3 linked regions of the Macaca mulatta genome follow. Each later gene encodes a partner of the first gene's protein in a complex. Links are inferred from orthologs where the notes say so. Each region holds a gene or a part of one and is shown in the gene's direction. Other genes may lie near its edges. The genes, in order: JARID2, AEBP2 and EED.

Region 1 (3,650 bases):
GTGGTTATAAAACCCTGAAGTCCCTGACTTTAAACTCATATCATAGGTGGAAAGTAATGCCCAAGTTGTTAAGTGGTGGGTCAGTGGCTACATCGTGACACGGAGAAGACATCTCCTCAAAACCAGCATGTCCGGCAGCAGCCCATTGGGGTCCCTTCATCATTCTTGTTTGAAGCCTGTGCATTTATGGTGTCTGCCATTGTCGCTCCCCATTTTCTGTGACATTTGTGTGTCCCAGGATTACCGTGGCGTCCAAGCTGTAAGACTGCCTCTGTTTGCCCAGGTCCCATAGAACCCAATGGAAAGTTTGTCCAGGGTGGGAAAATATGTGGGAAAGTTTGTAAAGGTTGGGAAAATATAGGAAGCACGTGTGCAGATGAGGGTTGGCATGTGTTGCTCACCAGTGAGGTCGGGGCATCCCTCTTCCATCCAGCCTGTTCCTGTCCAGGGCTTGTCTCCACAAGGAAAGCAGACGGCAGCTGCTGACAGTTTGCAGCCACACCTCTGGGCCCGGCCTGCCACCCGGAGCCAAACCACATGGGCACTGCTGTTCTTTTCCTTCCATAGTATTTTTGTTTTCCTTCTTTTTTTAGCCACATAGATTTCTAAATCCTGTGGGCAGGTCGTGCTGCTATGTGGAGCACAGAAATAGCAGACATGACTTTTCTTGGAACAGGGATGTGTGTGTGTGTCTGTCTCCACTTCCCCCAAGGAAGCAGGATCTTGCTGTCATCAACTCTTAGAAGCTCAGGACAGGTGATTGTCTGGCACGTGGGGAGGTCTTCATTGTGAAACACCAGATTTCCTGGAAGAGCCATGAGAACGTGAAAATACACACAGGAAACCCGGCTAGGAAGTGCTTGGGGCAGGCTGCATACTTTTGTGAAGAAGGATAGGTGTATAGTGGATTCCGAAAGTGGACATCGCTGCTTAATTCTTGGATGTGTATTTTGCTTCTCTTTGCTGGCATTTCCACATCTCTTCTTATCACAAACAGGCTGCTGGTGTTCTGTTCATCCCCAGCACCCAGGGCCCTTTCTCACGGGTGGGCCCGTCGTTTTCGTGGCAGGTACTAATTCTGCATTTTTTTCCGCCTCTGCTTCTGCTGCTCCACAGGTTTCTAAGGTAAATGGAGTCACTCGAATGTCATCTCTGGGTGCGGGTGCAACCAGTGCCAAAAAGATGCGCGAGGTCAGACCTTCACCATCCAAAACTGTGAAGTACACTGCCACGGTGACGAAGGGGGCTGTCACATACACCAAAGCCAAGAGAGAACTGGTCAAGGACACCAAACCCAATCACCACAAGCCCAGTTCCGCTGTCAACCACACAATCTCAGGGAAAACTGAAAGTAGCAATGCAAAAACCCGCAAACAGGTGCTATCCCTCGGGGGGGCGTCCAAGTCCACCGGGCCCGCCGTCAATGGCCTCAAGGTCAGTGGCAGGTTGAACCCAAAGTCATGCACTAAGGAGGTTGGGGGGCGGCAGCTGCGGGAGGGCCTGCAGCTGCGGGAGGGGCTGCGGAACTCCAAGAGGAGACTGGAAGAGGCACACCAGGCGGAGAAGCCACAGTCGCCCCCCAAGAAGATGAAAGGGGCGGCTGGCCCCGCAGAAGGCCCTGGTAAGAAGGCCCCGGCCGAGAAAGGTCTGCTGAATGGACACGTGAAGAAGGAAGTGCCGGAGCGCAGTCTGGAGAGGAATCGGCCGAAGCGGGCCACAGCCGGGAAGAGCACGCCAGGCAGACAAGCACATGGCAAGGCGGACGGCGCCTCCTGTGAAAATCGTTCTACCTCGCAACCGGAGTCCGTGCACAAGCCGCAGGACTCGGGCAAGGCCGAGAAGGGCGGCGGCAAGGCCGGGTGGGCGGCCATGGACGAGATCCCCGTCCTTAGGCCCTCCGCCAAGGAGTTCCACGACCCGCTCATCTACATCGAGTCGGTCCGCGCTCAGGTGGAGAAGTTCGGGATGTGCAGGGTGATCCCCCCTCCAGACTGGCGGCCCGAGTGCAAGCTCAACGATGAGATGCGGTTTGTCACGCAGATTCAGCACATCCACAAGCTGGGCCGGCGCTGGGGCCCCAACGTGCAGCGGCTGGCCTGCATCAAGAAGCACCTCAAATCTCAGGGCATCACCATGGACGAGCTCCCGCTCATAGGTAGGTCTGGGCTAGGGGGTGGGGGGAGTGTCCCTGCCTGCCCCAGATCCCTGCAGTTCCCTCACAGTCTTCACGTTCTCTTCCCTTGCAGAAGCTCCAGTTCGGCTCCCCTGTCTCGGGAGTAGTGGGCTTCTCAGCTCATTCCCCCTGCAGCCCTTCTTCCCAGGTCCTGGGCGTTGGTGGCAGGACAAGAATGGTATTGAGCTTGGATCTGGGGTGGGCCCCTTGCATCCCCTGGGCTGTCAACTTCTACCCACAACTGCTGGAGTCAGAGCAGGGGCCAGGGGGTCAGTGGGGAACGCTGCCCCTCTGGATTCTGCTAGACTGCCACTGCAAAGCGCCACTGACTGTTGAACTTACAACAGACCTTCCTCACAGTTCTGGAGGCTGGAAGCCCAAGGTCTAGGGGCCGGCAGGGTTGGTTTCTCCCAGGGCCTTCCTCCTTGGCTTGTGGATGGCTGTTTTCTCCCTGTGTCCTCACAGGGTCCTACCTCTGTGTGTGTCTGTGTCTTTGGATTAGGGCCCATCCTACTGACCTCATTCTAACATAATTACCCCTTTGAAGACCCTGTCTCCAAATTCATTCATGTCCTGAGGTACTGGGGGTCAGGGCTTCAACATATGAATTTGGAGGGTGCACCATGCAGCCCATAGCCCTCTAGGGTCCTGCAGGACATTTTTTATCCTGCTCAGCCTTGTCTCTTCTTCTTCTTTGTTTTTCCTTGAGCTTCAGTTTCTCTGGCGATGTTGTCAAGGCCACAGGTCAGGGGATCTGTTGACATTTTTTCTGAGACCAGGTGCAGCTCTGGCTGGGGCTGTTGCAGACTTGTCACAGTGGATCCTTAGCGAATGCATATTTGGGCTGTCATGTAGACCCTTGCTCCTCGGGGTGGGCTGCAGGCAGAGACTCCTCTTGGGTTCCCCTGTAGCTCTCCTTCCCTGTCATCCTCTCTTGAGTCCTGGCACTGGGGACACAGGGCGAGAATGAACCTGCCCTGTTAAGGCTAAGTGGGTTCTGTGCAGTGAGGTGCATCCAGGTAAGGTTGCAACCCCCATTAGTCTAGACCCATGGGAGGAAACAGGCCACACCTCCATTTTGGAGATCCTGAATTTTCAAAGGCATGGAGACATGTAGCCATCATTTAAGCGTCAGGGATTTGGCAGCAAGATAGGCTTCCAGGCAGGATGGAGGTTCAGTGGTTCCCCTCAGCAGGTGCCTGCTAGGGCTGATGCCTGAGTAACAGTCACCTTAACTTGCAGGAGTTGTTGGTTTGTGCTCTGCTGTTGGGAATGGCACGTGACAGGCAGCAGTGCAGGGAGCAGACTTTGCACACGCGTGCACCCACGCCTGCTGACCACGTCCCGTGACTGCTTGGGACATGGTGACTGAGTCAGTGATGGAACCGCACTGAGTCCTCCTGCTTTTGGAGACCTGCAGACAGGAGGGAAACATTCTGAGTTTCCCTACTCTGCTAGGTGGATCATGGAGCCTCGA
Region 2 (4,094 bases), on another chromosome or scaffold:
TATAATTTGAAAGGCATTCAAAGAATTGTGTGGCATTACTATAACAAAACTCCATTCATTCTCATCTGCTTTTTTATGCGAACAAATTTTCTCAATACTTACATCCATGTAATTGAAAACTTGGAATAGAACTGATGCTGAACTGTTTCTCAAAAAAATCCATCCATTGAAGGTCATAATGTATATTAGAAAAAAGTCCACCCAAGTTCATTTCTGCAAGATGCACTGCCAATAAAATTTTGCTTTTGTGTTTAGTACTTACAAACATTTGAAATAGATGTGTTTTGATCAGTTGAAATAAGAGCTTTATGATCACAGAAAATGTAAAAAACAACCCAGATACTTCAATTTATGTACACATTTTTATTACAAGGAAATGTGGTAAGACAACCAAAATAGAGTTCAAATATAAAATATATTATTAGGATAAAATTCTAGAAGGGATATGGAACGTCAATGAGTTCCAGAAGACAATGTTTGGAAATTGTATTTTCCAAACTGCATTTTTAAAAAATGGATATTAGTGGGTATTAAATCCCTACGGTATTTAGAATCCATTGGCTATAGAGTCTTTAAAAAATGCGACAGATGAAATATTTATAAGCCGGAAGAAATATAGCTGTCATTTTAAACTGTTTAAGAACATACACGGCTTTACAAAATTGTTTTCGAAGGCTCATGAACTAAAAAGTTTGAGGACCTTGAACCAAGATGTTTGCTCTGGGTTCAGGATGTCAACATCCCCAGGGGTATTCAAACATAGGGTGTATTAAAACCTGTCGCCCTATGTTGCGCATATAAATTTAGTACCTTACACCCTAGTGTTTTTTGCCCATTTTAAACGGCTCTCTTCGTAGACTGTAGGCTCGTTCTATTCCTGGCTCAGCGCCTGTACAGAGGGGACACTCCCCAAACACCCCCGGAATGAATGAGTTTATCGTGAGAACTCGGAAGGCTGCTAAAATCCCCGGCCAGCGTTGGAGTTTTCAGTCCGCGTGTCCCTGGGCTTCGAAGCCCAGCACGGCGTGGGAAGGCCCCGAGGAAACGCTGAGCACTTGCCGGGGCCGGGCGGGGGCGGGGGCGGGCGCGGGGCAGCGGGGCGGGCTCCGGGCGGGGGCGCGGGCGCAGAACTCGCAGCCGGCTGAGGTGCCGCCTCGTGCCGCCGCGCAGGCGCGCAGCCGTCTCCGTGTGAGTGCGCGTAGTCGCGCGCCTGTCCCCGCGCGGGCTCCGTAGCGCGTGTGCAGGCTGACGCAGCTCGCGGGCCCTCCTCCTGCTCTGCAGCGGCGTCGGAGGAGTTTTGGGCGTTTGGGAGGGGGGCGAGAGAGCGAGAGTCGAGAGAGGGAGGCGGCGGCGGCGGCAGGGAGGAGGAGGAGGAGGAGCAGGCGCCGCCATGGCCGCCGCTATCACCGACATGGCCGACCTGGAGGAGCTCTCCCGCCTGAGCCCTCTGCCCCCCGGCAGCCCGGGTTCGGCGGCGCGGGGCCGGGCTGAGCCCCCCGAGGAGGAGGAGGAAGAGGAGGAGGAGGAAGAGGAGGCAGAGGCAGAGGCGGTGGCGGCGCTGCTGCTGAACGGCGGCAGCGGTGGGGGCGGCGGAGGCGGCGGCGGAGTGGGGGGCGGCGAGGCGGAGACGATGTCGGAGCCGAGCCCTGAGAGCGCCAGCCAGGCCGGGGAGGACGAAGACGAGGAGGACGACGACGAGGAGGAGGAAGATGAGAGCAGCAGCAGCGGCGGGGGTGAGGAGGAGAGTAGCGCCGAGAGCCTGGTGGGCAGCAGCGGCGGGAGCAGCAGTGATGAGACCCGGTCGCTGAGCCCCGGCGCCGCCAGCAGCAGCAGCGGGGATGGGGACGGCAAGGAGGGCCTGGAGGAGCCCAAGGGACCGCGGGGCAGCCAGGGCGGCGGCGGGGGCGGCAGCAGTAGCAGCAGCGTCGTCTCCAGCGGCGGCGACGAGGGCTACGGGACTGGGGGAGGCGGAAGCAGCGCGACCTCCGGGGGCCGGCGAGGCAGCTTGGAGATGTCGTCGGATGGGGAACCCCTGAGCCGCATGGACTCGGAGGACAGGTCAGTGCTCTGAAGCGTTTCCCTTTCCCTTCCTCCTCTTGAACTCCCGAGCCCCTCAAAGGGGGACCAAGGCGACTTTTTGCCGCGATCCCCCTGCTCCCCGAATCCTCGGCCCCTCCCCCAGGCTCTCAACTCGGAAATCTCTCGCCGCCGCCGCCGCGCCCCTCTCGCAGCGCATCGCGGCTTCCAACTCAAACCGTTCCCCCCCAACTCTCCTTTCCCCGCCCTCTTTCCCCTCGGCGCTTCGCTCCTCACGGACCTCAGGACGGCTCTAACTCGGAAACAGTCCCCAAACGGGCCCAGATCCTCTGGCGGAGCAGAAGAGGGCCTTGATGTACACACGTCGGTACTCAAGGTTAGCTTCATCCAACCGTGTTCGGGAACACTTGTCAGAACTATAATTGACAAGTGTTTCCAATATGGCTGGTCTCGCCTGGATTTAACAGAACTTCCTTGTCCAGGGGGGAGACCCCAGCTATCACTTTTCTCTACTTAAACAAAAAAGGATTGTTCTTTTGTATTAAATCATTGCTTTCCAAATCCTTCATTTGTAGTCAGTCATGTGGTCTCCAACGTGATTTTAACAATCTTTTCTGTTTTGGGAGCATATCTGGGAAAAAGTTTTAAACACGTATAAATGGTTGTGGAAAAGAATAGTGAATTGATGGCCTTTTAAGATAACTTTGCGGAATCAGAGAGTTGGAATCGTAAGAAAATACAGTCTGGAAGGTGCAACGTAGTTTGCGGCTTTATAGTAATGCTTCAATGTGAGAGTCATGATTTTACATGATAATATTTAAAGTCATATATTGGAGAGGTCTCGGAAGGAATGAGTATTATTTTTCTGACTAAAGCTTGTTAGAAGTAACTGGAGAGTGACAAAAATGCGCATTTTTTCAGAACATTTAAAAAGTGTGATAGTATATGTTTCAGTTGTCCTGTCATTACTTTTGGTCTGTTTGGGTTGGTTTTTAGTGTACTTTTAAAAAAACGAGAATCACATCATGCGTATTATGCCACTTCTAAAGTGTATTAGCATTTATTTTGACCATCTGCCTATGTTTTGACAATCAGTAAGATTTTTTTTTTTAAACATGCTCCCCAGAAAAGTATAGCAATGGAAAATTTAGTGGTCGGTAGTGATTTTCATTTAAGAGTTTAATATTCTGAAGTTCTAGGAATTCCGATTAATTGATTAAAAACGAACACCTTAGTATTTAATGCTACAAGTAAGACAGAGTCCTGGAGATTTTGAAAATCTAGCATTAGATTCTGTTTGACATTAACGTCTAGTTAAGAAAGTATCTTGGGGTAAAGTAGACTGTACAAACCTTAGGAAAATTGTGTTGAACTGTGTAGGCATGAGTAGGAAGGAGAATGTCTTCAAGAAAATTAAAAATTGATGTAAACTGCACAATGAAGCATGTGCTATTTTTACCATTTTATTCTCCTCTAGTACCATTACATATCTGAAAGTTGACATTAGTTTATAAAATCAGCGTTTTTCATTTACCCAGTATACACGTATACTTGCCTACCACTGTACAAATTCGATGTCTTCCATTTCTTTCCCACAACTTTGGTGCAAGATAGGTATTATTTTGACTTCGGTTTAACAGATGAAGCAGCAAGTTGAGTGTCTTACTCAGGACAGTAAATACAGCATGGAAATGGTGGGCTGCATATGAACAAAGGTTCTCAAGTCCCCTGTTACTTCCACTTAAGAGTTAGAATAATTCACCTTAAATAAGTGGAGGCCGGGCGCGGTGGCTCACGCCTGTAACCCTGGCACTTTGGGAGGCCGAGGTGGGCGGATCACCTGAGTCGGGAGTTTGAGATCAGCCTGGCCAACACAGTGAAACCTTACCTACGTTAAAAATACAAAAATTATCCGAGAGTGGTGGCATGCGTCTGTGGTCCCAGCTACTCGGGAGGCTGAGGCAGGAGAATCGCTTGAACCCGGGAGGCAGAGGTTGCAGTGAACCGAGATGGTACCACTGCACTCCAGCCTGGGCGACAGAGCGAGACTCTGTCTC
Region 3 (2,564 bases), on another chromosome or scaffold:
GTGCTTCATTACTGCTCAGTGGGGGTGGGAGTTAAGGCTCTCCGTAGGCCTCAGCTGATACCACTCTAGCTGGGAAGGGCCAGGATGCCTAATTACTGCCCCCCTAGTGGTCTCCATTGACACTGTGGGTAGTTGGTGGCTTTACCAGTGAGTGGCTATGAATGTCCTAACTCGATTAGGCCTCCTCTGATACCAGCCTAGCCCGAGAGGAGGAGGGTCACCCCATTGCTATAAGAGGTATGGGGAGAGTCATGGGATAGGCACTTGGGGTGCTTAGTTACAACCTGAGCATGGGTTTTTCACTGGGCTTTTGCTGGTTCAAGTGGAGATGGGTCCACAGATTTTTCTAGGGTGTTTGGCTGGAGTAGAGCATTGTCATCTGAAAATTTTGTCTTGTTAGGCTGCTACATTTTTTGGTTCCTTGGCTAGAAAGGGTAGGCTTTTGTTGTTGTTGTTTTTGTTGTCTTCACTCATTAGCATTTCTGAGTTGCTGCCTTCTCTCGCATCCAGTCTGGTATACATAAGGCAAAAGAAAACCCAGGAAACTCAACAGTTATCGTTATGTTCCAAGGTTTCTAACTTGCTTGCCTTTTCTCTACCTTTCCAAGTCTTATGTTTGCTTTGTGTATGATACTCAGACTTTTAAGCAGACGGATAGGAAAAAATACATCTGCTCTATTGTTCCAGCAGCAGAAGTAAAAAGCCATTAGGTTTTTTAAATTTCTGCTCTTAGAACTTAGATCTCTGGAAAGGATTTCTGAATTTTAGGTGGTAGGCTGAACTGGAATATATTGGTGGTCTCAAATCTGACTCTGCATTGGAATCACTAGGAGAATGTTAGAAAAATAGATTTCCTAGACCTCACCTTAAGAAATTCTAAATCTGGCACAAGGCCCTGGGAATTGGTAGTTCTAAAAAGCTCTTAGTACATGATTTTGAAGTGCAGCCATCCATTAGCTCTGGCAACATCTTTTTACCTCACTTTGCTTTAGTTGTTCCATCTAGGGACTCCAGTACTTAAAAATTCTTTACCGGTGCAGTTAGTAAGAAGCACTTGAAGAGCTTTTTTATAGTTCTTCTGCTTTGGCCTTTCTCTTAGAGACTGAATCAGTAGGGGCTGAGATGAGTCTTTCGAGAAAACTCCATAGACTATTGATCAAATTTTGCATTTAGCCAAGAGTCATCACACTAGGTGGTTTCTAAGGTCCTTTACAGTTAAAAACTTGAATAACAGATGTCATATAGCACTAGGATTTAAAAAGTCTAAATAAAAAAGGTAGAGAAGAAAAAAGAATGTGTTGTCTCCTCCCTAATCTTCAAGTGGCCATACTATTAAATTATTTAAATGCCTGTGAACCCCACAGGGCTGCCACCTGTGACTATATTATGTAGGCTGTCCAGTAAAATTCTAGGGGCACTGTTCACTTACACGAGGATTTCTGAATCCTGGTGCTATTTAGTTTAGGCCAGATAATTCCTTTTTTGAAGGGGGTTTCCTGTGCATTATAAGATGTTTAGTAGCATCTCTGGCCTCTACTCATTAGAGCACAGACACATTGCCAAATGTCCCTTAGTGGGCAAGCTACTGACCTAGATAGTAATATGAATAGTGCCCACAGTTTTGCAATTTTTTCTCATTGTATTCTTTACTACTTACTGCTTAGGTGTGTGCATACAAATTTGATTTTATAGGATAGGAAAAGTATAAGTTTGAAGCCTATTTCAATCCTGTCCCCATATCAGTGTCTTGATGTTAAACAACTGCTTTACTTGCCTTCAATTGCCCTATTTATAACCTGAGTTCTAAGGCCATTTATGTGAGTTCATCAAATTTCCTAAGATACCTGTTGAGTATCTACTGTGTGGCACAGATACTGGATGAAGGAATAATAGTTAATAAGGTAAAGGAAACCACCTGTGATTAGAATTGAAATGGGAAACTGCAAACTAGTGAAGTAAGCAAGAGCCAGATTAATGCCGGATTATGAAAAGCCATGTATTCTAATTCTGTATGTTTGTAATTATACCTTTGCTATAAAACAAGTCTCTGGGTGTCAGAGTATCTAGAGCTGAACTTGGTTTAACTTGGAAGAGAAATGTTGACTTCCAAAATGAATATTTCAGAAAATGTGATTCTTTTGTATTATCAAATTCTGTTGATAATCAGATTTCTTGTCCTTAAGTATGGGCATTGAGTATAAATATAAATGAATGTACATCACTGTACTTGATAGAAGGATTAACCAGGTTCTAAGAGCTGTGAATTCCAAAACAATAGAAAAGCCTTGTTTTTACTTTATAAGATTCAGTTCCACATTAACATTTCTTTTTCTCATTTCTCTCTCTGTTTTAGTCTTGTGAAAATGCCATTGTGTGCTGGAAACCTGGCAAGATGGAAGATGATATAGATAAAATTAAACCCAGTGAGTCTAATGTGACTATTCTTGGGCGATTTGATTACAGCCAGTGTGACATTTGGTACATGAGGTTTTCTATGGATTTCTGGCAAAAGGTATCAACGTACTTTTACATTTTGAAATGATCTGACTTATGAAAGACCATTG

Evidence for each region.
Region 2: the proteins of JARID2 (region 1) and AEBP2 are in contact, whole or in part, in a cryo-EM structure (PDB 8VNZ), measured with the Homo sapiens proteins. The link is inferred for Macaca mulatta from reciprocal best matches to the Homo sapiens genes JARID2 and AEBP2. Residues at the interface, in NP_004964.2 of Homo sapiens: Ser148, Lys151, Pro152, Lys153, Thr154, Glu155, Asp156, Leu158, Thr159; in NP_001107648.1 of Homo sapiens: Arg407, Ala410, Ile411, Asn414, Leu415, Glu420, Ser421.
Region 3: the proteins of JARID2 (region 1) and EED are in contact, whole or in part, in a cryo-EM structure (PDB 6C23), measured with the Homo sapiens proteins. The link is inferred for Macaca mulatta from reciprocal best matches to the Homo sapiens genes JARID2 and EED. Residues at the interface, in NP_004964.2 of Homo sapiens: Pro109, Gln114, Arg115, Lys116, Phe117; in NP_003788.2 of Homo sapiens: Pro95, Phe97, Tyr148, Arg306, Asn307, Tyr308, Cys324, Asp362, Ile363, Trp364, Tyr365, Arg414, Asp430.

The regions. Positions count from the first base shown.
Region 1 is NC_133409.1:167,623,753-167,627,402, reverse strand, and holds part of JARID2 (protein Jumonji), read left to right. Parts: intron 1-1,116; coding exon 1,117-2,155; intron 2,156-3,650.
Region 2 is NC_133416.1:21,905,531-21,909,624, forward strand, and holds the start of AEBP2 (zinc finger protein AEBP2), read left to right. Parts: upstream 1-1,180; 5' UTR 1,181-1,390; coding exon 1,391-2,058; exon of another isoform or gene 2,059-2,390; coding exon of another isoform or gene 2,391-2,413; intron 2,414-4,094. UniProt on the Homo sapiens protein: Acts as an accessory subunit for the core Polycomb repressive complex 2 (PRC2), which mediates histone H3K27 (H3K27me3) trimethylation on chromatin leading to transcriptional repression of the affected target gene.
Region 3 is NC_133419.1:86,871,632-86,874,195, forward strand, and holds part of EED (polycomb protein EED), read left to right. Parts: intron 1-2,353; coding exon 2,354-2,512; exon of another isoform or gene 2,513-2,564. UniProt on the Homo sapiens protein: Polycomb group (PcG) protein. Component of the PRC2/EED-EZH2 complex, which methylates 'Lys-9' and 'Lys-27' of histone H3, leading to transcriptional repression of the affected target gene.